Linked DNA regions of Rhinolophus ferrumequinum. The protein of the gene in region 2 interacts with the protein of the main gene of each other region in a biochemical or structural test. Links are inferred from orthologs where the notes say so. Each region holds a gene or a part of one and is shown on either strand. Other genes may lie near its edges.

What was found.
Region 1: the proteins of KBTBD7 (region 2) and MAP1LC3C form a complex in vitro, tested with the Homo sapiens proteins (2 studies listed by BioGRID and IntAct, with this or other methods). The link is inferred for Rhinolophus ferrumequinum from reciprocal best matches to the Homo sapiens genes KBTBD7 and MAP1LC3C.
Region 3: the proteins of KBTBD7 (region 2) and GABARAPL1 form a complex in vitro, tested with the Homo sapiens proteins (2 studies listed by BioGRID and IntAct, with this or other methods). The link is inferred for Rhinolophus ferrumequinum from reciprocal best matches to the Homo sapiens genes KBTBD7 and GABARAPL1.

Annotation. Positions count from the first base shown.
Region 1 is NC_046310.1:18,307,896-18,314,808, forward strand, and holds the start of MAP1LC3C (microtubule-associated proteins 1A/1B light chain 3C), read left to right. Parts: upstream 1-3,899; 5' UTR 3,900-3,973; coding exon 3,974-4,031; intron 4,032-4,133; coding exon 4,134-4,189; intron 4,190-4,364; coding exon 4,365-4,471; intron 4,472-6,522; coding exon 6,523-6,682; 3' UTR 6,683-6,913.
Region 2 is NC_046287.1:8,877,891-8,885,397, forward strand, and holds the start of KBTBD7 (kelch repeat and BTB domain-containing protein 7), read left to right. Parts: upstream 1-4,483; 5' UTR 4,484-4,649; coding exon 4,650-6,689; 3' UTR 6,690-7,507. UniProt on the Homo sapiens protein: As part of the CUL3(KBTBD6/7) E3 ubiquitin ligase complex functions as a substrate adapter for the RAC1 guanine exchange factor (GEF) TIAM1, mediating its 'Lys-48' ubiquitination and proteasomal degradation.
Region 3 is NC_046293.1:25,902,297-25,909,364, forward strand, and holds the start of GABARAPL1 (gamma-aminobutyric acid receptor-associated protein-like 1), read left to right. Parts: upstream 1-4,054; 5' UTR 4,055-4,326; coding exon 4,327-4,416; intron 4,417-7,068. UniProt on the Homo sapiens protein: Ubiquitin-like modifier that increases cell-surface expression of kappa-type opioid receptor through facilitating anterograde intracellular trafficking of the receptor. Involved in formation of autophagosomal vacuoles.

The DNA.
Region 1 (6,913 bases), on a different chromosome or scaffold from region 2:
GTTGATCAGATAAACAAGTCTTACTGGTAGGCAGCCTTTTAAAGGGCACTTGATGATAAAAAGCAAAAAATAAAACGGAATGACATAACTTTGAATTTCAGCTTTCTGCCTTGAGATTCCTCCTGGATGTTCCCTTCTCATCCTGAGTGAGTCGTATCAGGACGGGATGTCTGGGCCTCCAGGCGACAGCAGGAGCCACTCTCATACATCTCCTATCCCCCCGCCATGGACCCTGTGAAGCCGCCAAGTCCAGGCAATGTACTGAAGGAGTCATGCGACATTCTGCGGCAGCCTCCAGAACCTCTCTCCTCCCTGACGTGGACACAGTGATGAAGACTTCCTTCTTCTCAGCCCGCCAGCTTGCAGCGGCCTCTCACTTTAGACGTGCACATTTCACTTCCATGGTGTCATAACTGTCCACCCAGTTTCCCACTAGAATCAGAGCTTGTAGCCAAGAGGGATGAATGACAGCAGCCACAATAGGACAGGACAGGAACCAAGATGGATCTGTCCTAGTCACCCCGAGCCCCACACACCCACAGGTGCCAAGGGACAGGCCTATTTTAACTCACATAGGAGAAACTGAGTCACCTTGGGAAACTCCTCAGCAATGGTTCAAATCATCCCCGGAAAGCATATAGAGCAAGAAGAGGACTGGGTGGGCCCAGGGAAAGGCCAAGATCAAGGGACAGGAGAAGTGGCACTGGTGACTCTAAACTTTGCACATAGCAAGGGCCTGGGCAGCAATGAGAAGGGAAGGATGGCAATCGTCGGGGGCTCATGCTAAAGCTCCATGGGCACAGCGACGATGCAGCTGTTACACACAACTGCCTGCGATGGATGCGGTGACCGATCGCTACAGGGCCAGAAACATAGAACAGTTTCTATTCACATAAGAAATGAGAATTTATTATGGATAAATGGATATTCTGTTTATCTCCTTAGGGGTTCTGAGGAGAACTGGCTCTGCAAATGAGGGAGAGGCAGCTGGAGAAGGGAGGAGACGGTGGGGGGAGAAGAACCCCAAGAAAATGGAATCCTGGAATCTGAAAGACGAGAGTTGTTGGAAGGAGAAAATGCACACGGCCACATGCTGAAGGACGAAAGATCAAATAAGGTAAGGGCTACAAAGAGGTGCTGGTGTGTATTATTGCTGACCTCCTGAGAGCATGCATTAGTGTCGGGACAGACTCCAGACTGCAGGGGTTTACGGAGCGGAGAGGCAGTGAGCTAAGTGGAAAGACTGAGCTCGGCCAACTCTTGCAAAAGGTTCAGGAAGTGTGAGTAGCGGGGGCTGGGCTCCCAGCTCCACAGGCCACGAGCAGTATGAGAGACGTCATATTATGAGCTCCTACTGTCACCCATATCTCTGTGTACATCACGCAGATTCCCACCTTTCATCTCCACACGACTCTCTGAGATGAGAAAGCATGTCCATTCTGCTAAGGAGGACCGTGAGGCTCAAAGAAGTTAAGTAAGCAAGATGTAGAGCCCAGGTGCGTTGTCAAAGTTTTGCTTTCCATGACAGTCACATGTCTGGAAGAGGCAAGAGAAAGTTGACTGGTTGTTCTTTTAAAAGGAGGGTGGGGCATAGGTGTGTTTATGGGAGGAGGGGAATAAATCTTCCCTAACCCAACAGCAAGTGTCCCACTCTCTGCCACCTCTTATTTTACTAGCTCACTCTCTTTTGTACCAGGATTCCATGTGTCCTGTCACCAGCCCCCTTCCCAGTACATGGGTCAGACAGAGGGATGAGAGTGGGTGAAAGTGTAGGGTAGAGGGAATCAACATGGCCTCAGCCAGCTCGTGTTTCATGTGCTTTGTGTGCAGGACAAAGAAGTGCAATATTTCCCACTGTACATCATGGGCAGTGTCGGTTTTGTTTATTAAAATATCAGTAGATGGGCTCCTGGACCAAGCCTAGGCACTCTGGCACCAGCCATTTTCCACAGTGCTATTCCTATCTCCTTCCCTACACAACCTGTGTGGCGCGACATTATGTGTCTTTGGTTACCTTCTGCCAACTAGGTTCCAAGGACCGTGATGGGGCCCACAGTACCCATGGACACTCTGCTCTTCTCAAAAAGGAAACTTTGCAACAAAAGAGAAACAATATAGCCATTCCTCTGCTGAATGATGATACATTCTGAGTATTGCCACATTTTAATATTTTCCCAAGTCCTTTATTCTGTCACCCCCATTACATCCGGAGAAGTAGACTTGGCCGAGATGATAATCCTACGTGCCAGAGGAGAAAGCGAAATGCCGGGCAGGTAGGAAACGTCTCAATGTTTCCTCCCAATAACGATTGGCCAAACAGTGCAGCTGGGGGTTATTTTTCCCTGGTCCCCAACCCAGTGCTATTGCCTTCAGCCTTCAAACCTGATGTCATGTGAACTTTCCTGGGATTGTGGGGGCTTTGAAGAGGCCTGGTGGGGAGAGAGACATACACACTGAGCATCAGATTTAGTGCCAGGCACTGTACTAGCTGCTTTACATAATCAGTTCATGTAAGTCTCATACACATACTCTGAATTAGGTAAAACTAACCACTTTAATGAGGTAAAAATAATCATTTTGCAAAAAGGGAAAACATACTTAGTAAAGTGAAATAATTTATCCAAGATCAGAAATGGAGGTGATAGTAGGGAGGGCCAGGCCTGGAACCAGTTTTTCCTGGTCCAGGATGTGGAGCCACCCCTGGGAAGTGGACGGTCTGGGTTGGCCCCACCTCAGTGTATTCTGGGTAGACATGGATCTGCAAAACGCTCATCCTACCTGCCCTTCCCACCCCCACAAGGCAATCGTTTCAATGAGATCATGGATTTGAAAGCCACGAGATTCCAGAACTGCACTATATACCTGCTCTTTGTTATCGAGAGACAAGGATAGAGAGACAGAGAGACAGAGAATGGGAGAGGGTGAGGCCACGCCTCTCTTCAGTGATGTCATCACTTAATCACTTGATGTCCATTCCTGATCACTAACTTAAAGCTCTGAGAGCTGCTCCCTTTGATTCACCCAGCAAATGTGGACGACCTACCATCATCTTCCTTTACGGCACTCTGTTCATTTGAAGCCTCCTCACTCTGTTGAATGACCTTGCTGGGAAATCAATGAAGGAAGGACACATACTCCTTCTGTTCATTCTGAGTCTAAAGGTCCAGCTAAATGGCATATGTATCAGAGACAAGCCCTGGACTCTGGGTCCTGCGAGAACTGTGTCTTCCCAGCCATTTGGCCCAGGCAAATCAGTTAACTTCTATTGGCTTCTGTTCCTTGTCTCTTAAAGGGAGACCTTGGGGGTAATAACTGTGCTTCCTTTCCTCCATTATTGCAGAGAAGATAAGATAACAGAATATACTGGAGTGTAGCACTACTTGGTACCAAATCTGGGTTTTAATCCCAGCTGCCTCTCTTACTAGCTGTGTGACCTTGGGCAAATTCCTTAACATTTCTGATCATAGTTTTCTCGCTGAGAAAAATGGCAAGGACTGTTGTGAGACTTACATAGCCTATTTCAGCATCAGGTGGATCCATCTTGGCCTTCCTTCAAGATGGTTCATTACTGAAGTACGAAAAGGTCCTCTGCAAATGGCAGTTCCACCTCTCCAGAGTTCTCAGCCTCAAACTATGCTGTTTGATTACATAGTCACTGATTTTATTATGAACCCTAATTTCTCCAGCAAAAAAAATTATCTTGAACTGATCCTGAGCAAAGTGACTTTCTCTGACCAATAAGCAGGTGGCTGTCCCGTTTCAATCCTCAGAACTGACCTCCTCCTGCCCAGCGAGGGGGAGAGGGGGAGGGTAAAGAAGAGGGAAAGGGCTGATGTCACACAGCCCTACATAAGGGCCTCCTTTAGCCTCCTGCAGGCGGGTTGGAAGCAGCTGGAGGAATGAGTTAGGTCCTGGCTGTGGATTTTTTTTTTTTTTTTTTTTAAGCCAGACACAGACAGGGCTGTTGAGCAAAATGCAGACTCCGCAGAAAAGCCCAAGCCTCAGACCATTCAAGCAGAGGAAGAGCTTAGGTAAAGTTCTCGGGTAGCTGTCTGGGTTGCCAGACAGAGAAGGAAAAGGATACAGACTGCTCTCGCCGTTTCCTTACTCTTTTGTACTTGAAATATTCACAGCAACCAGACAAGAGGAAGTGGCTGGAATCCGGGCAAAGTTCCCAAACAAGATCCCGGTAAGACTCCATTGTACTTTTGGAAAAGGGGTACACTATTCTGTTGCTTGGGAAAAAAAATAATAATAATAACAACAACAGGAACAAAAAACCCACTCTCTCTGTCTCCCTGTTGTAAGACTCTAAGATACTGAGAGTTCTGAGTCACATTCTTAAGGGCGGAAACTCCCGACAGGTGGTAGTGGAGCGCTATTCCAGGGAGAAGTTCCTGCCCCCGCTGGACAAGACTAAGTTCCTGGTCCCCCAGGAGCTGACCGTGGCCCAGTTCCTCAGCATCATACGGTAGGTGACACGGTGCTCGTGGGGACGTGTGCATGGTCCTGGGCTTCTTCTGTTTGCTTTGATAGTTTGTTTGGTATTGAGGATAGGGGGGTGGGGTGGCGTCCCAGAAGAAGAGAGGGAAAGGATTTTCTTTGTGACTCACCACCTTGTAGGTTCTGCAGTGCCCAGAAAAGATGCTCTGAGAATTCATCTATTTTAAACAGGTGGGAGAACCTCTGAGATAACAAATCTAAAGACAGTCAGAGCTGCTAACATTTCTAAGAATTTCCTAAAGTAGTCTTGGTTCCAAAACGAGTCCAGAAGATCCTTTCTTCCTAATAGTGTGGAAAACCTGGCCAGTGTTTTCCCAGTAGAGACACGGCACCTTGTTGGAGTGTGCGAGCCTGGGGAGTGGAGACCTCTACAAAAGGCAAATGTTCCCCACACTGCTCAGAGTCTGAGAAGCGGGACACAAAGGTGTCCCCAGAACACATTCCTCCCTTGGGTTAGGGCACAGCAAAGAGGTAGTAACTACTTTTAAAGCTGAAGACAGTGAAGTGGTGTCACCTGACCCATGGATTCAATACAAATGACTGGGGAGTAATGTGGACATGACCTGGTAGGTAATCCTTCACAGGGTGAAGTCTGGAAGGGCCAGCCCTTGGAAACCCGATAACTGTTGCAGCTTATTTCTTCAAGAATTCATTATAAATATGTTAATCTCTGTTCTATTTGTTTCAATAAGTAAGATTATTCTGATTCCTCTCCTCAGGGAGGCTTAGTGACTGCAGGCAACTGAGGGAGAACGAGAATAAGAATTAGATCCCAACAACTTGATGCAACAGTAGATGACCTCCCTCCTCCAACAAGCCTTTGAGTTCTGAGAGGCATTCTTTCCCCCCTTCCTAGTCAGGGGCCTTCCTGTCTTCTCCACCACCCCTCGCCCACACCCCAATCCGCACGTTTGATGTTCACAGTGTTTATTGAGCACCAACTATGTCCTGAGTGTTCTCTGGGCTCTGTGTTCACAGCAGTGGACAGAATAGAACAAATTCCTGCCCTCGGCCTTCTCCCCCAGGGGGTAAGCCACAACCCTCATAACAAGGGAGCATGGCAGAGACAGGAAATGGAGGTACAGACTCCGGAAACAGAGCTTCCTTCAGAGCTAATGGCAACACACTCCCTCCCAGCTCTACCCCTTCCCGTTGCAGAACAGTTCTTTTTTATCCAAAGACCACTCATGCAATTGTGAGCTAAAATCTTTGGGGTTATTCTGGAAGGGATTCGCTGGTTGTATAATTACTCAGGCTCCAGCCACCCCCGTCTCCCACGGCTGCATGGATCTAGCTCACCTGACCTCTGAGGCTGAAGTGGGCAGGCTGTGCCTGCCCCCCCAAGCAGAGCAAATGGATATGCGCTTCAGGCCAGGCTGAGCCTTTACCTGAGTGTAACGTTGTCATGCTGTCCTCTACTCCAGGGTGAATCAGGACTTAGATTGACCTTGACTTGTAAAGCGTGTCCAGTCAAATTTGACTGCTTTGCTATCTCCTTGATGTTAGGGGAAGAAGGGCAGGGGGAAGGAAGAGCACAGTGAGAGGCAGTAGATTGCTTCTAAAGGTCCCCCAAGGCTGTGTAATATGAGATGCTGAAGGAAATTGGGATCCCCTTTGTACTTCTGGGGAAATACTTACCTTTAATTTCAGAGCAAAGAGGGGCTTCCACATTAGCATTTTTGTGTTGGTGTGTCTCCTAGTCCATGATGGGAACGCCTGCCCTTTTTTGCGGAAGAAGTAGGGAGCAATTCAGCTGTCTTGAGCATCACACTCCTGCAGATTCCTACCTAGGCTGCTTCTGAGATCTACTAAACCAAATGCTGTGGGCTGCAGCCCAGGAATGTGCATGTTCAACAGGCCTCTCCTGGGTGATTCTCAATTTTGAGGAGACACACCAGAGTGGGGAGGTGGGCATCTTGGATGGACGTGTTTACAGTGGCCACCGGAGGTAAGGCTTTGGCTCCATGCCCTTTCCCACCAGGTTAGCTTTCTCCCTTCCTGCCCCTCTCCCCATGCCAGGAGCCACATGGTCCTCGGGGCCACTGAAGCCTTTTACTTGCTAGTGAACAGCAAGAGTACGGTCAGCATGAGCATGACCATGGCCGAGATCTACAGGGACTACCGGGACGAGGACGGCTTCGTGTACATGACCTACGCCTCCCAGGAGATGTTCGGCTGAGGGGCCCCGAGGCGCCAGGGATGGCGCAGCCGGCGGGGCGGGCCCTGCCATCCTCTCCAGCTGCGGGACCAACCGAGCGGCTTCCTCCTGTGCGCGGTGGACCCACGGGAGCAGGGCCGCCCCGCAGGAGCCGCGCCCACGGGACAGGTAGGCCGGCGCCCTGTCCCCTTTAGTGCGCATGCCCTGTGTTCTCTGGGAAAACGCGGTGCCCCTGGGAGTTTTGTAAATAAT
Region 2 (7,507 bases):
ACTAAAGGCAGTGTGAGTCATTTTGGGTATAGACATAAAGTGAATAGTGTGTAGACTATTTAAAAATCAGAGCGAAAAACAATATGAGGGAGCCCAGGATGTAGAGCTGATGGCGCCTGCCACAGCCCTGACCTGAGCTGGTAGGATGGAGAATAGAGGCAGTACTCACGCTCAGATGGGAGAAGATTGTGTGCAGAATCACTGATAAATACCACCAAAGCCTAAATTCCGGGAAGGTGAACGGCTGCTTTGCTTTCATGGGCATCTTTATGAAGCAAAGTGTGTAAAGATTTTTATAAAGGACAAACAAATGAAATACTTTGTACTTACAGTGATTAGAGTAAACACTGGGGTGAATGGGTTCCAGAAAGCAGAGGACTGAAATAAATGGAAACCGATCTGCAGAAACAGGACTTCAGGAAGCCATTATTCGGAAAGGAAGATGAGAGAGGCTGCCCCAGGAAAGATGTCTGAGCTACAAAACAAAAATGTTGGAGTCACCCAGAAATGGAAATGGGGGCAGAGCCAGTGAGATACCTCAGCCTCCTCAGAAGAAAAAGGGCCAAGGAGACTCTGATGTTAGATTCATGAACAGAGTTGAAGGTTCTTGAAGAACTAGAATCAAGATTTGTCATTGATAGAGACTTAATGACCAGGTAAAAACAGCTCTTTTATCTTTCTGCCAAGAACGTAGATGCCCTTGTAAGGATTATGCAAATTATAAGAGATTTTTAGCAAACACAGAGAACTAGTATATGTGTGTTAATGAAGTTGTATCAGGAATAAGAAGACTGGAATGGAATGTTGGGTGCTCAGCTAACTTTATAAATTTGAAAGACCTCCAGTATGCTGAGACCCTTAAAAATTGTCCCGAGGCACCTTTGTCCAGGTGTGTACGGAGCACCAGCCACATCTACTGAAAACTGGAGCCTTGTTGGCCTCTACACGTGGGGAGTCTTAGTTTATGACTGAGCTATCTTCACGATTTCCTGGCAAAGAATTCTGCAACTTGATTTACTGCTAGCAATTACCAAGTGGCTCCTCCTAGGAGGTATAATTTACAGTAAATTAAATGCACAGATCTTAAGAGACAGTTCATTGAATTTGACAATTGCATACACCCGTGCAGCCTTCAGTCCAATCAAGATGAGAACATTTCTATCACTCCTGAAAGTTTCTTTGGGTTCCTCTGCAGCCAATGCAGAAATCCACCAACCCACACTGGCAGCCTTTATTATGATTTTTATTCACCATAGCTTATTTTCACTGTTTTGAAACTTAGCATAGACGGTCATACAGTATGTACTCTTGTGTATCTGGCTTCTTTTGTTCAACATAAAATTTTCGAAACTTGTTTACATTATTATGTGCATCAAAGTTTGTTTCTTTTTTATTTCTGACTTGCATTACACTATGAATATACCACAATTAATTTTTCTCATTCTCCTTGATGCACATATATATTTACAGTTTTGGGCTATTATGGATGAGGCTACTGTGAACACTTCGTGGACATATGTTTTAATTTCCCTTGGAAATTGCAGTGAAATTATTGGGCATTTAACATTCAAAAAAACTACCAAACGGTTTTTTAAAGGGGACATACCAATTTACATTCCCATAATTAATATATGAGAGTTCCAATGGCTCCCTATAATCACCAACATTTGCTCTTATTGATCTTTTTAAGTTTAGCCATTCTATTGGCTGTGCAGTATTTTCTCATTGTGAATTGAATTTGCATTCATGATGAATGACATTGATGGGCTTTCATGTTTATTGGCCATTGGCTTATATGTATTATGAATATTTTTTGCCAGTCTATGACTTGCCTTTTTATTTTGTTTTCATTGCTTTTTTTAAAAAAACAACTTTAAGTGTGTTTTTCCAGGACCCGTCAGCTCCAAGTCAAGTAGTTGTTTCAATCTATTTGTGGAGGGCACAGCTCACAGTGGCCCATGTGGGAATCGAACCAGCAACTTTATTAAGAGCACTGCACTCTAACCAACTAAGCTAACCAGCTGTCCCTGTTTTCATTGCTTTTCCTGGACAAAGCTTGTAATCTTGTTGAAATTCATTTTATCAATTTTCTTTTCTTTTTTTTTAAGGAGGGCTCAGCTCACAATGGCCAATACGGGGATCAAACCGGCAACCTTGGTGTCATTAGCACCACACTCTAACCAACTGAGCTAACCTGCCACCCCTATCAATTTTTTTTAATGTTAATGTTTCATGTATCCTAAGAAATCTTTGCCTACCTCACAGTCACAGAGATAGTCTCCTATGGTTTCTTCTAGAAGCTTTGTGGTTTTCAATTTTCTGTTTTACATTAAGATCCATTTCAAATTAATTTTTGTTTATGGTATAAGTTTATGGTATAAGGGTCAAGGTTAATGTTTTTTTTCACATTATGATCCAGTTGTTCCAACACCACTTGTCTAAGAGACTTCTTTCTCCACTGAATTTCATCGATACCAATGCTGTGTTTCTAAAATTTAAAATTCAGTTCCTCATTTGCATTGGCCACATTTCAAGTTCTCAAGAGCTACAGGTGGCTTCTGGTTACCATATCAGTGGGGCGGATATTAAGTATTTGCACATCGCACAAAGTTCTGTGACAGCACTGCTCTAGACCTTAGGGCACTGTGTCTACTAAATATTTCAGATTCCGTGAAAGATAATATAAACCAAATAACAAAGTATGGACTGATATAAGGAAGTTAAAAATCAATCACTTAACTTATATGAGGCATGTAGAGTAGTCAAATTCAGAGACAAAGTAGAATGGTGGTTACCAGGGGTTTTGGAGAGGGCGAAAGGAGAGTTACTGTGAATGGATACAAACTTTCAATTTTGCAATATGAAAACAGTTCTGGAGATGGATGGTGGTGATGGTTGCAAAACAATGTGAATGTACTTAATGCCAAAGAAATGTACCCGTATGCTTCAAAATTGCTAAAATGGTAACCTATATGTTATGTATATTTTACCAATATAATTTTTTAAATTGCTGTTTACCCCAGCTTGTGTTTAGTGCAGATGAGAAAGCAATCAGAGTTACTAATGACTTAATTCTTTCTGGTATATCTGAGGGACACCCAACTGAGGTACAGAGGAGACATTGGGGCCCAGAGCCCCACTTAATTTAATGTCTATTTCCTGGGGGTATTTCCAGTAGACCCACTTTAGCTAATAGGAAAAGAGAGAAATACAAGTTGAGAGTTATTTTCCTACTATGTGTTGTCTACATATTCGTGTAATACTAAACATTTCATTCATAATGGTGACCCATGGCAAACTAACAGCAGAAGCAGTCTAGTTTTTAAATTAAAGTTCCCAAACTAAAAAAAATCAAGTCTCTAAGCACTTGATTTTGACAATTTAACTAGCAGATAATGTTGATCTATATAGCTATGTCAACAATTTAGTAAAGCATCGACTCTACTACATAAATTTAAGAAATGTCAGGGCATGTATGAATACGGTACTCTGAGGATCTTGGCTTGTGTACAATACAAGGTCTGTTTATTTAAATATTATACTTTAAAACTCTCATTAAAACTACTTAATAAAAACAATTCCAGAATTTACAACTGATTTGTGGAAAGGAAGTGAAAGGAGCAGTATTAGATGACTTGCAAACACTCATGAAGAGGCTGTGAAAATAGTCTTGCTACCCAGGAGATGAAGTGTTGACTTGATGAGTCAACCCATCCATTTAATGCCTGATTTGCATAACTGAGGCCATCTACAATGGCTGTCCTCTAGGATCTCATTTTGTCTAAGACATATTAATGAACCTGTGAATATCGTTTAGTATTGAAAATAAATATTGTAATACACTTCACAGCCTTTCAAAAGAAGCAACACTAAAAACGGTAAGTTTTCAGAAATTGCTCATGGTTTCAAATTAGGGGGTGTCTCAATTTTCATAAATTCTAAAATAAAAGCTAACTGAATATGTACTAAGCTGACTGAATATGTACTAAGCACAGTGTAAACAATTTTTGTTCTCAAATATTTATTGAAACTTTCTATATCCAAATACAATCCTATGAATACTATTATCCCCATTTTACAAATAAGTTTTCAGGGAGAAATGACATAATTAATGAATACTGAAACGGGGCTTTTACTTTGTATTTCAAAGCCAAAGTTTTAAACCATTAAATCGAGGAGCATTAACGCTCTCTAATTCTATTACCTGAAGAAACACTCCGCCCCAAGAAACCTCGCGATATTATTCAAGCTATCACTCCCAACGTGCAAAGCGGCTTACTATTATTCAGCCTATGAGCATCTGGACTGTCCAGGCACGCCTCGAGTGCGAAAAGCAGCCTGGGAGTCGTAGTTCAGGATCCCGTGTCGTCAGCGCAGCAGTGGTGGCTCACTTGGTTCCAGTCAGCGGGTTCACTGAGGGCGAGCTGAGGTGAAAAAAAAAAAAAAAAGGGGGGGCGCGGAACTGGAAAGGGTGAGTAAGACACTGTCTACGCGATAAAAGGAGGCGGCACCGCTGCGTGGGGCTGAGTTTAAAAGGTGCGGCCCCTATACAGGGAAGCGCCTATCTGCGCTGGTTAGAGCAGATTGAGGCGGAGCCGGAGCTCCGTCCTTGCCCGGGTTCTCACCTCAGCACCGCGGCCATCTCCACCATGCAGTCTCGGGAAGACGCTCCGCGCTCTCGCCGCCTCTCCAGTCCCCGTGGTGGGAGGCGGCCCAAGAGGATTTCCAAGCCCTCAGTTTCGGCTTTTTTCGCGGGCCCTGAGGAGCTGAAGGACACGGCCCATTCTGCAGCCCTGCTGGCACAGCTCAAGTCCTTCTACGACGCGCGGCTGCTGTGTGATGTGACCATCGAGGTGGTGACGCCTGGCAGTGGGCCTGGCACGGGCCGCCTCTTCCCCTGCAACCGTAACGTGCTGGCTGCCGCGTGTCCCTACTTCAAGAGCATGTTCACCGGCGGCATGTACGAGAGCCAGCAGGCAAACGTGACCATGCACGATGTGGATGCCGAGTCCTTCGAGGTGTTGGTCGAATACTGCTACACGGGTCGCGTGTCGCTAAGCGAGTCCAACGTGCAGCGCCTTTATGCAGCCTCGGACATGTTACAGCTCGAGTACGTGCGGGAAGCCTGTGCCTCCTTCCTAGCCCGCCGCCTTGACCTGGCCAACTGCACCGCCATTCTCAAGTTCGCCGACGCCTTCGACCACCACAAGCTGCGCTCACAGGCCCAGTCCTTCATCGCCCACAACTTCAAGCAGCTCAGCCGGATGGGTTCGATTCGGGAGGAGACCCTGGCAGATCTGACTTTGGCCCAGCTGCTGGCCGTGCTGCGCCTGGATAGTTTAAACATCGAGAGTGAGCAAACGGTGTGTCACGTGGCGGTGCAGTGGTTGGAAGCGGCTCCCAAGGAGCGGGGTCCCAGCGCTGCGGAAGTCTTCAAGTGTGTCCGCTGGACACACTTCACTGATGAAGATCAGGATTACCTGGAAGCGCTGCTAACCAAGCCCATTGTGAAGAAGTACTGTCTGGACCTTATTGAAGGGGCCCTGCAGATGCGATATGGTGACATACTGTACAAGTCTCTGGTGCCAAAGCCAGAGTGCAGCAGCAGCTCTGTTGTTTCTGCAGCAGAAAATCCACCCCAGAGGCTGGGTGTGTGTGCCAAGGAGATGGTGATCTTCTTTGGACATCCCAGAGATCCCTTTCTCTGCTATGACCCATACTCAGGGGACATTTACACAATGCCCTCACCTTTGACCAGCTTGGCCCACACTAAGACTATCACCTCCTCAGCTGTCTGCGTCTCTCCAGACCATGACATCTATCTAGCTGCCCAGCCCAGGAAAGACCTCTGGGTGTATAAACCAGCCCAGAACAGTTGGCAGCAACTTGCAGATCGCTTGCTCTGCCGTGAGGGCATGGATGTGGCATACCTTAATGGGTACATTTACATCTTGGGTGGGCGAGACCCTATTACTGGAGTTAAATTGAAGGAAGTGGAATGCTACAGTGTTCAGAGAAACCAGTGGGCACTGGTGGCTCCTGTTCCCCACTCCTTCTATTCCTTCGAATTAATAGTGGTTCAGAACTATCTTTATGCTGTGAACAGTAAACGCATGCTCTGCTATGATCCTAGTCACAATATGTGGTTGAACTGTGCTTCTCTTAAACGTAGTGACTTTCAGGAAGCCTGTGTCTTCAATGATGAGATCTATTGCATCTGTGACATCCCCGTCATGAAGGTCTATAACCCAGCCAGGGGAGAATGGCGGAGGATTAGTAATATTCCCCTGGACTCAGAGACCCACAACTATCAGATTGTCAATCATGGCCAAAAGTTGCTTCTCATCACTTCTACCACCCCACAATGGAAAAAAAACCGGGTGACTGTGTACGAATATGATACTAGGGAAGACCTATGGATTAATATAGGCACAATGTTAGGTCTTTTGCAGTTTGACTCGGGCTTTATTTGCCTCTGTGCTCGTGTTTATCCTTCTTGCCTTGAACCTGGTCAGAGTTTCATCACTGAGGAAGATGATGCACGGAGTGAGTCTAGTACTGAATGGGACTTAGATGGATTCAGTGAGCTGGACTCTGAGTCAGGAAGTTCAAGTTCTTTTTCTGATGATGAAGTCTGGGTGCAGGTAGCACCTCAGCGAAATGCACAGGATCCGCAGGGCTCTTTGTAAATATTTGGAAACACTACAGGTGATTCTACTGCTATGGAATGTATTTTAAAAAGATATCCTTTCCTTTTCCTGAAAAAAAAATTGATTAGTACCACAGATTTGGTTTAGAAAGCGTAATGTTGAATTACTTATGTAACGTTCCAAAATTTAAAAACAGTCCACAAAATTAACCTATATAATAATTTACTGTGCTAAAAGTCGAGATTAAAATATGCAAAAAATGAAGTGTACAATTGATTAAAATGCTTGGTGGTTTTTTTCATTGTTCAAGTATTCATTGTACCAGTGAATTGTTATGGTTAGTTACACTGCTTATATTTTGGTTATCTAATTTAGTCTTCAGTTAACTTTTTAATTCTATTTAGTGCCACGAGGCATTTAACTTTTTAAGTTTTATAATAGAAAATTGGACTAGAAAGTGTTGCTATGGTTTTGAAGGTTTATATTTTCCTTCAGAATAATGAAAATAGATTTACCAAATTCTAAAGTAGTCAGTTTTTAGTATTCTAGGTTAATATAGTTTGTTAAATTTGGTTTCGTTTTCTTCCCTTTTGCAAAGGAAAGAAATTGAACATATAAAGATTATTAAATAGCGATTTCATTTTGATATAGTGCAGAATGGTCTTAAGAGCTCACAGAAAATAAAAATAAATCAGGATTCCACTGTTTTAAAAGAAATTTAGCTTCTAATTTTGGAATATAAAATGTATATTTAATAAATGTGACCATTTTTTAATCTAAAACACATCCATTCTAGTAGTGTCACCAATTATTTAAACACCCTTCTAAACCAAAAGAGAAATAAATAACTTAATTTG
Region 3 (7,068 bases), on a different chromosome or scaffold from region 2:
TCCCTTTTGTCAGCTTTGGAGGCTGAATTGCAGGAAGTGATGTAACTTGCAGGGATCTGAATGTCTGAGTTGGTTTTATACTCAACTTCCTCAGGCTTGAAATACCAAATGGAAAAAACTTTTGCTCTTATTTTTAAATTTAATTTTATTATTTGAATTAAATGTATGCATTTATGAAGATTAAAAAGTCAAAGAGCTCTATAAGGATTGTGAAGAAAAATAGCACCTTCCCACTACCCCCGTACATGTACGCATACGCCCTACTTTTTCAGCTGACTTTGTAAAATCTACATTTCAACAAATACTATGCATATATTGCTATTCTTGATTTTTATGTTCAGTTTGGTGCATCATCTATCAACTTGCCGTTATAGAAGAAATAAAATTTACCCCTTTTCGTTACCATGATCCCTACCTTTGCTACCATGACACATCTGAACATTTCTTGTGCCTCCTATCTTCTAAGCATAGTTATATCGTAATTTTAATTAGATGAGTATAATGGGTCGTGGCAAAAAGACTATTATTGAATAAGAGGCTAAAACCAGGCTTTTGGGCTTTTTCCTTACTCCTTGTCCAATCATGGTGTAGTCACTTAATCATTCTATGCTTCAAATTCTTAAGTTGTAAAATGATAAAATGAGTACATATACATTATATTATTATGTGTGGATTACAGGGGTTAATGCATATACACATACTATACATAAAGCATGTATATTAAATCCTCTTTCCTTTTTGCATGTCTTTCTCTTTGTCGAAATGCTCTCCTTTTTAGAAGGCCACCAATTATACTGGATTAAGGCCTACCCTAATGACCTCATCTTTTGATTATCTGCAAAGACCCTATTTGTAAAGTCACATTTATAGATACTGGGTGTTGAGACTTCAACATTTCTTCAGGGGACATAATTGAACCTATGACACAGTTGATTTAGTGGATTTTCAGGAGACAACAAAGAAAACTATATCTTTTTCAATCCACCATCTTAAATCAGTAGTCTACCCTTTGCTTTCTTGACTATGACATTGTCATGCACGGTGTCATGCAGGGTCTCAGCTCCCGCTCCCCACATAAGAATGCAGGATATGGTGAGGCCAAAAAGGAACACCCACGGAGCCATAGATAGGAGAGTCATACCGCTATAGTCTCACTGGCGCCTGGGTTGGAGACACAGGAAGCAGGAGCCACACGATCTGCAACCCGCCGTCCACTTGTTTCTGCCAACCAACCTCACTTGCTAACTGCAATCCGCCTCTCTGCAATCCGCAATCCACACTCTGCTGTGCTAACTGCAATCTGCTCTTGCTAGCTTAGCCACCACCTTCTTGCCAGCCCCCATTTTCTGTTAGCGTAGCCACAGCAGTTATATTAGTGGCCAATGGCTCACTGGTTACAGCTGACGGCCAACTAGCCACAGCTGATGGCCATCCCATCACAGTTGATGGCCATTTACTACCCCAGTGAGCACCTTTCCACGTGAGGGTGAGAGCCTGGAAACTGCGCTCCTGGCTCTGTCCCCATAGACATACTATGCACTTTTTGAGTCTTCATTTTGTATCCAAAGCATTGAGGATATAAATACAAGTAACATGTTACCAAATAGCACAGAGACTACCTGAAACTAGGGACTTAAATGCCATTAGTTCTCCCTCCAACTCTATCTTTACATTTATCTCTATCCCTATCTATACATCATGAGTCTCTGACTGACATCTTCTTTATCTTTCTTATGTTGGACTGGTGCATTTAGACTGCAAATTTAGATTTTATGAAATGAATACAGTGGCTACTGTAAGCCTCTGATCGTACATCATCAAAACGCCATAATTAAAAAAGGGACTTATTTCTCTAGCCTCATATATAGCCATTTCGTATTTTGTAGTCTATGTTCCAGGCATACTAAATTATTTAAATTACTTCTTTCCCTATATTGCCCTTATTTATGGTCATTGGATATCGTCAAATGATCTTCCTGTAAAAACATTTTCTCCTATTTTTTTTTCTTTTTTTTGGCCTAATTCCTGTAAATCATTTGGAGCTTAGTTCAGGCATCGCCTTCTTCAGGAAGCCTTTCTTTTAACCCCCATTTGCCTGGGTCCCTCTGTGTCTTTACAATGTGCTCTGAAAGCATTGTGTGCTTATTTTTGTCACAGGACACATAAATGATGTATTGTTCATTAGATAATACCATGTCCATTCCTTCTCTCTTTTTTTTTTTTTTGGCGGCGGAGGTATACATTGCTTTGTAGGAAGCTACTCCTCCCACACTAACCACTGCGTAGTTCTAGTGGGACCCACAAATCATAGATTCTCACTGCCTTGACCATTAAGAAGGCCAGGTGACTTATAAAAGACTAATCAGAATCTTTCCTTAAAATTTCTCACATATGAACTAAGAGAATATTACATTTTGTGTAATATATTAAATGTTATGCTGAGAATACAGGCAGAGAGCAAACTTTGGAAGTTCACAGATTGTGTATTCTACAATAAAGCATTAGCATTTAGAAAAGCCTTGAGGCAGAAAGATTAATCGAAATTCCATCTCCAAATTATTTTTCATATATAAATTGCCACTGTGCTTAGGTATTTTTAAAAGTTAAAATCAGTATTTTTAACTAGCTACGATTGTTTCCAGTAGATTTGATCATAGAATAATAGTCTTAAAATATTAATCTTCATCGTAATTACTTTTCTCAACTGGTTGTAAGGTTCTCCTTTGAGACATTTAGCTCTATTTGAACCGAAGCTAAAATAAGCTGAAAATTTCAATTTGAAAATAAGGAATAAAAATTATAAAAATATAATGTGATAAAATAATTCCTGGATTTTCACACATAAAAAGGACTGAAAGATACCATGGAGAAAAAAAATTAACATCAAGAAGTAGGGCTATGTAATTCATTCTCGTTTCAATAATGAAACTCAGTTTCTTTTGTGGATTTGTTTTTTAAATCAGAGACACTGAGACCTTGACAAAAGTAGATAGGGGCTGCCATTTTCTAATATATTAATAGTTAGCAGAGCTCCCTTGTTTTGGGCAGACCAGCCTGTCCTCACCCTTATCTTTCACAATTTCCTCTGTCCCCCACCATAGGTTCCTGGAATCACTGCCAGGAACAGTGGTTGGAAAGGCCTTAGTCCTTTTGATTCTTGTTGGAGAAAGGGGAGGGCCAGAGAGAGGTGATACTGGCACCTGGCCCACCACCCAGAGTCCTCCACTCCCCCTTTTCAGGTGGCACTTTCTATTCACATTAGGGATACTTAACCAGTACTAACCTTCAGGTGAATTTTTGCATAAGAGAAAAGAATGTTTGAGAACCACTGAGTTAATCACTTAGATCACTTGATATTTTCTTTTCCATCAGATAGGCCCAACTTCTGCGTTAATAGGAGAAAATGAATCATTTCTATATTTGAAAAGGCGTGAAGCCCTTAGTAGTTAAGACTGACACCACTTCTCTGGACCTTGATTACATCTGATGTCCTTTACCTAATGTGTCTTTTCAAATTCCTGAGTCACGTTTTGTTTACGTTCCTGCTCCAGGAACAAATTGCAACTGCGGCATGGACCCAAACAAAATGACGCGAACGTGGTGAAGGAAGGGTCACGGTCAGAGGAAGCCAGCCTAGCTCCCGAGGTTCCTGGAGGTGGCAAATGAAGGAGCAAAGGGCAAAATGCAAGTGCCTGGCACGTCTGCACTGGCCAAATAAACTCCAGGACCCTGATCCCTCCTTCCCCCAGACTTCAGATCCTAACAAGCTGGAAAAAGCTGGATTTTCTTCCAGTGTGTTTGTTTTTGGATCCAACCAAGAAACAGCGAGGGAGAGGGAAAAAGACATCTTTAGAAAATGTTTTGTTTTAAAACCACCTTTAATGCCACATTATCAATAAAATAAGAAGTAAAAACTGTTCTCATTTGCATGAGAACTCTGTTCAGGTAAAGTTTCGATAGAAGAAGAATACACTGAAACCGACAGTGTCTGTCCACCCCCAACTCGCGCGGTCCAGAGCGCTGGGGGCGGGATGAAGGGCGGGGCGCCGTGACGTCACAATACCAACGCGCCGCCGTGTTGTTATTGTGTTGCCAGCTCTCGGGAAAAGCCACCGGGAATTCTTTACCTGGCCATCTCCTACTTGCAGGCTAGGGCACCCGAGATCCCTTCAGAAGCTCTACCAAGCTGCGTTGCGACAGGAGCTGCCATTTCTGAAGCGATTCCGACACATTGAAATTTGGCGGAGGGAATAAGACCCAAGAGACGCAATCATCAGCGAGGAAGGCAGGCCCCGTCCGGGGATCTTAGAAACCCTGCGGTTCATCATGAAGTTCCAGTATAAGGAGGACCATCCATTTGAGTATCGGAAAAAGGAAGGAGAAAAGATCCGGAAGAAATATCCTGATAGGGTCCCTGTGAGTGCAAGGGGAGCGGGAAGGGGGAGGAGAAGGGAATATCGGGGGGCGGGAGAGTCGTGATGGCTGCCCTAAGGCACTGAAGAACGCTGGTCCCTAAAATTACTTACCCCTGAATGGCCTTCACTGCGAGGAGAGCCAATGGAATGGACGTTCTGACTGCGGACCTTTTAAAACCTGTATCCCCGGGGCCCATACCCATCTTTAGAGCTGACCGCTTCCTTTGAGCGGAGCCTACGTTTGAGTGACTCAGCAGTATTCAGAGGCTATTTAGGTTGTGATGTGCTCAAAATGTGGCCCTTCTGTGCGAGAATGATTCGGTCAGGACCACACATTTGCTGCCTTTGAGATCGCAGGGAAGTTTTCTGGGAATAATTGATGCCGTGGGGATTGCTCCCATAGATTTCTGTTTCTCCCTTAATCAAGTTGACTTCAGTCCTCGTAGCATTGGCTTTGGGAGGGAAAGGCTGGGAAGCCAGGGAATCCTTTTATACTGTGAGGACTGGGAGTTGGGGGGCAGGGGGCTGCCACAAGACAGGACTGGCCCAGAAAACAAGGTCACGTTCTCTGCGCAACAGCCGGGTTGCCTCATCATTCTTGGCTCCGGCGACATGTACGGGGGCAGCCAGCCTTCCCCGGTACCTATCTGATTAGATTGTAGCTGGGCACAATCAAGAAGGACTAAGGCCTTTTTCTCTCCGTTTTGAACCCTGGTTTATGTAATTAAATCTCGTGTAGGCAGCGAGGAGGAACAGAGGAGAAATATTAAGGTATCTTTCTGCATCCGGGCGTTTTTCCCATCACCCCTCCCCCGCCACTTGCCTGGTTTTTCTCTCCTGTGGGCTGCGCAGCCGGATTGGAAGGCAGACGACTTAAGTGTGGTAGAGGGAACAACCGTTGAATTTTGGAAATGGAGGAGCGGAGACTTTTAAGATTGTGCTCTTTATCTTCAGACAGGGTCATTAAGATAAATGTTACAAATAATTTACAGGTGAAGGAATTGCGATGATCTGATTTGCTTTTTTGACCCGCAGGTACTCTTTGGGCCTCCTCTCCAATCCTTAATCTGTCATGGTCTCACAGCTACCAGAAGAAGCCTGGGCTTTAGGCCAGCGGTATAAACCCCTTGCCGTCCTTTTCCTATAAGGAAGAGGAGACTTGAGGGCTGGTTTCATTCATTCCCTGGGAGTTGCACACAAAAGAGATCCTTCCCTAATCCTTCCCTCCCTGGTCCCTGGACCTTGAATGACAACTATAAAATTTTCTCCCAATTCTGGTGATACTCTATTATAATAACATTTAGAAGTGACAAGTAACTTTTATTGATAGTTTACCATGTGCCTGGGCGTATTCTGAATACTGTGTCTATAGTCATTCACTTAATCCTCACACCATTATAATGCCCATCCTACAGATGAAGACTGAAGCACAGAGAAGTGATTTCCTAAAATTTTCACATGGCTCTTCTGTGGCAGACCCCAGATTGCAGCTGGTTTGCTATTTCTATTAGCATTCTAATGCAGTTCTATTAGACAGAATTAAGGGTGCACTGTGTACCTCACAGTCTTAGGTATTGGAAATAGAGAAAAGAACTCTTGTTTCCCTTAAGAGTTCACAGAGCAGTATGAGGCTCTGTTCCAGTAGCTCTGTGTAAGTTACAAACTCTGAAATGTACCAGTTCCCAAATTGAGGTGAAATTCCCATGGGTTTCCTTAAAACCAAACCCTTCCCATTTCAATCATTTACATGCTTTCACCCAGAATATTTCTGCTCATCACCCCACCCCCACTGTTGTTTTGCTGCTCATAATTTGGAGTTAAATGTTTTACAAAACTGTTTAATTTGTAAGCTATTAGGACCATCAGTCAGTTCTCCTGGTCCCTCCAGTTATCTTTTAACCAGTGATAAGCCTTCCAACTGCTCCTTAGGTACTCAGCCTATGACCTTCTTTCTAGTTGTGACGCAGGAGGAAGAGCTCTGCTGTCTTGAGTTCTGAGATTTGATTCCAGTTCCAGGCACAACCCTTAATCTTGCTGTGCTAAAGTGTCCTGTTTACAAAAAAAGAGGGTTAGAGTAAATGATTTTCAAAGCCCCTTTCAGCTGGACCATTGGTGGTACAGCAATCACATACCCTGACTGTTCACATAACTCAAGCTTAACCCCAACAATATCTCTAGAGCTGCCATACCTGACTATGTGTGCATGTGCCTTGGGAGAGGAGGGTTTCATGGGCTCTTGCAATGATCTTAATAGCTACAGTGTATTGAAAACCTGCAACATAGCAGGAAACTGTTAGGAACAGATTGTATATATATATTTTTTAATTCAGGAACAGCCCTAAGGAGTATTAGCCACATTTCATTTTGCAGAAAAACAGAGAAGCAGACAGGAAAAGCAGCTAACCCAGGGCCCACTGTGGAGTAGAGCTGGGATTCCTGAAAACCGAAATATTTTCTGGTAAACCAGGGCCTAAATGATTACTCCTCCTCTTCCTGTTCCCCTCCAAGTCCCTCCTCCCCTGCTGATATTTTCTTTGCGGTTGGCTAGCTTTATTGCCCTCTTTCTGCTAGCTTCTTGTGGTTTCCATCTCTTGATTGGAGCTGGAGCTGCCAGGTCTCAGAGCTCCTGCTAGACACAGTGCTATGTGTCCTG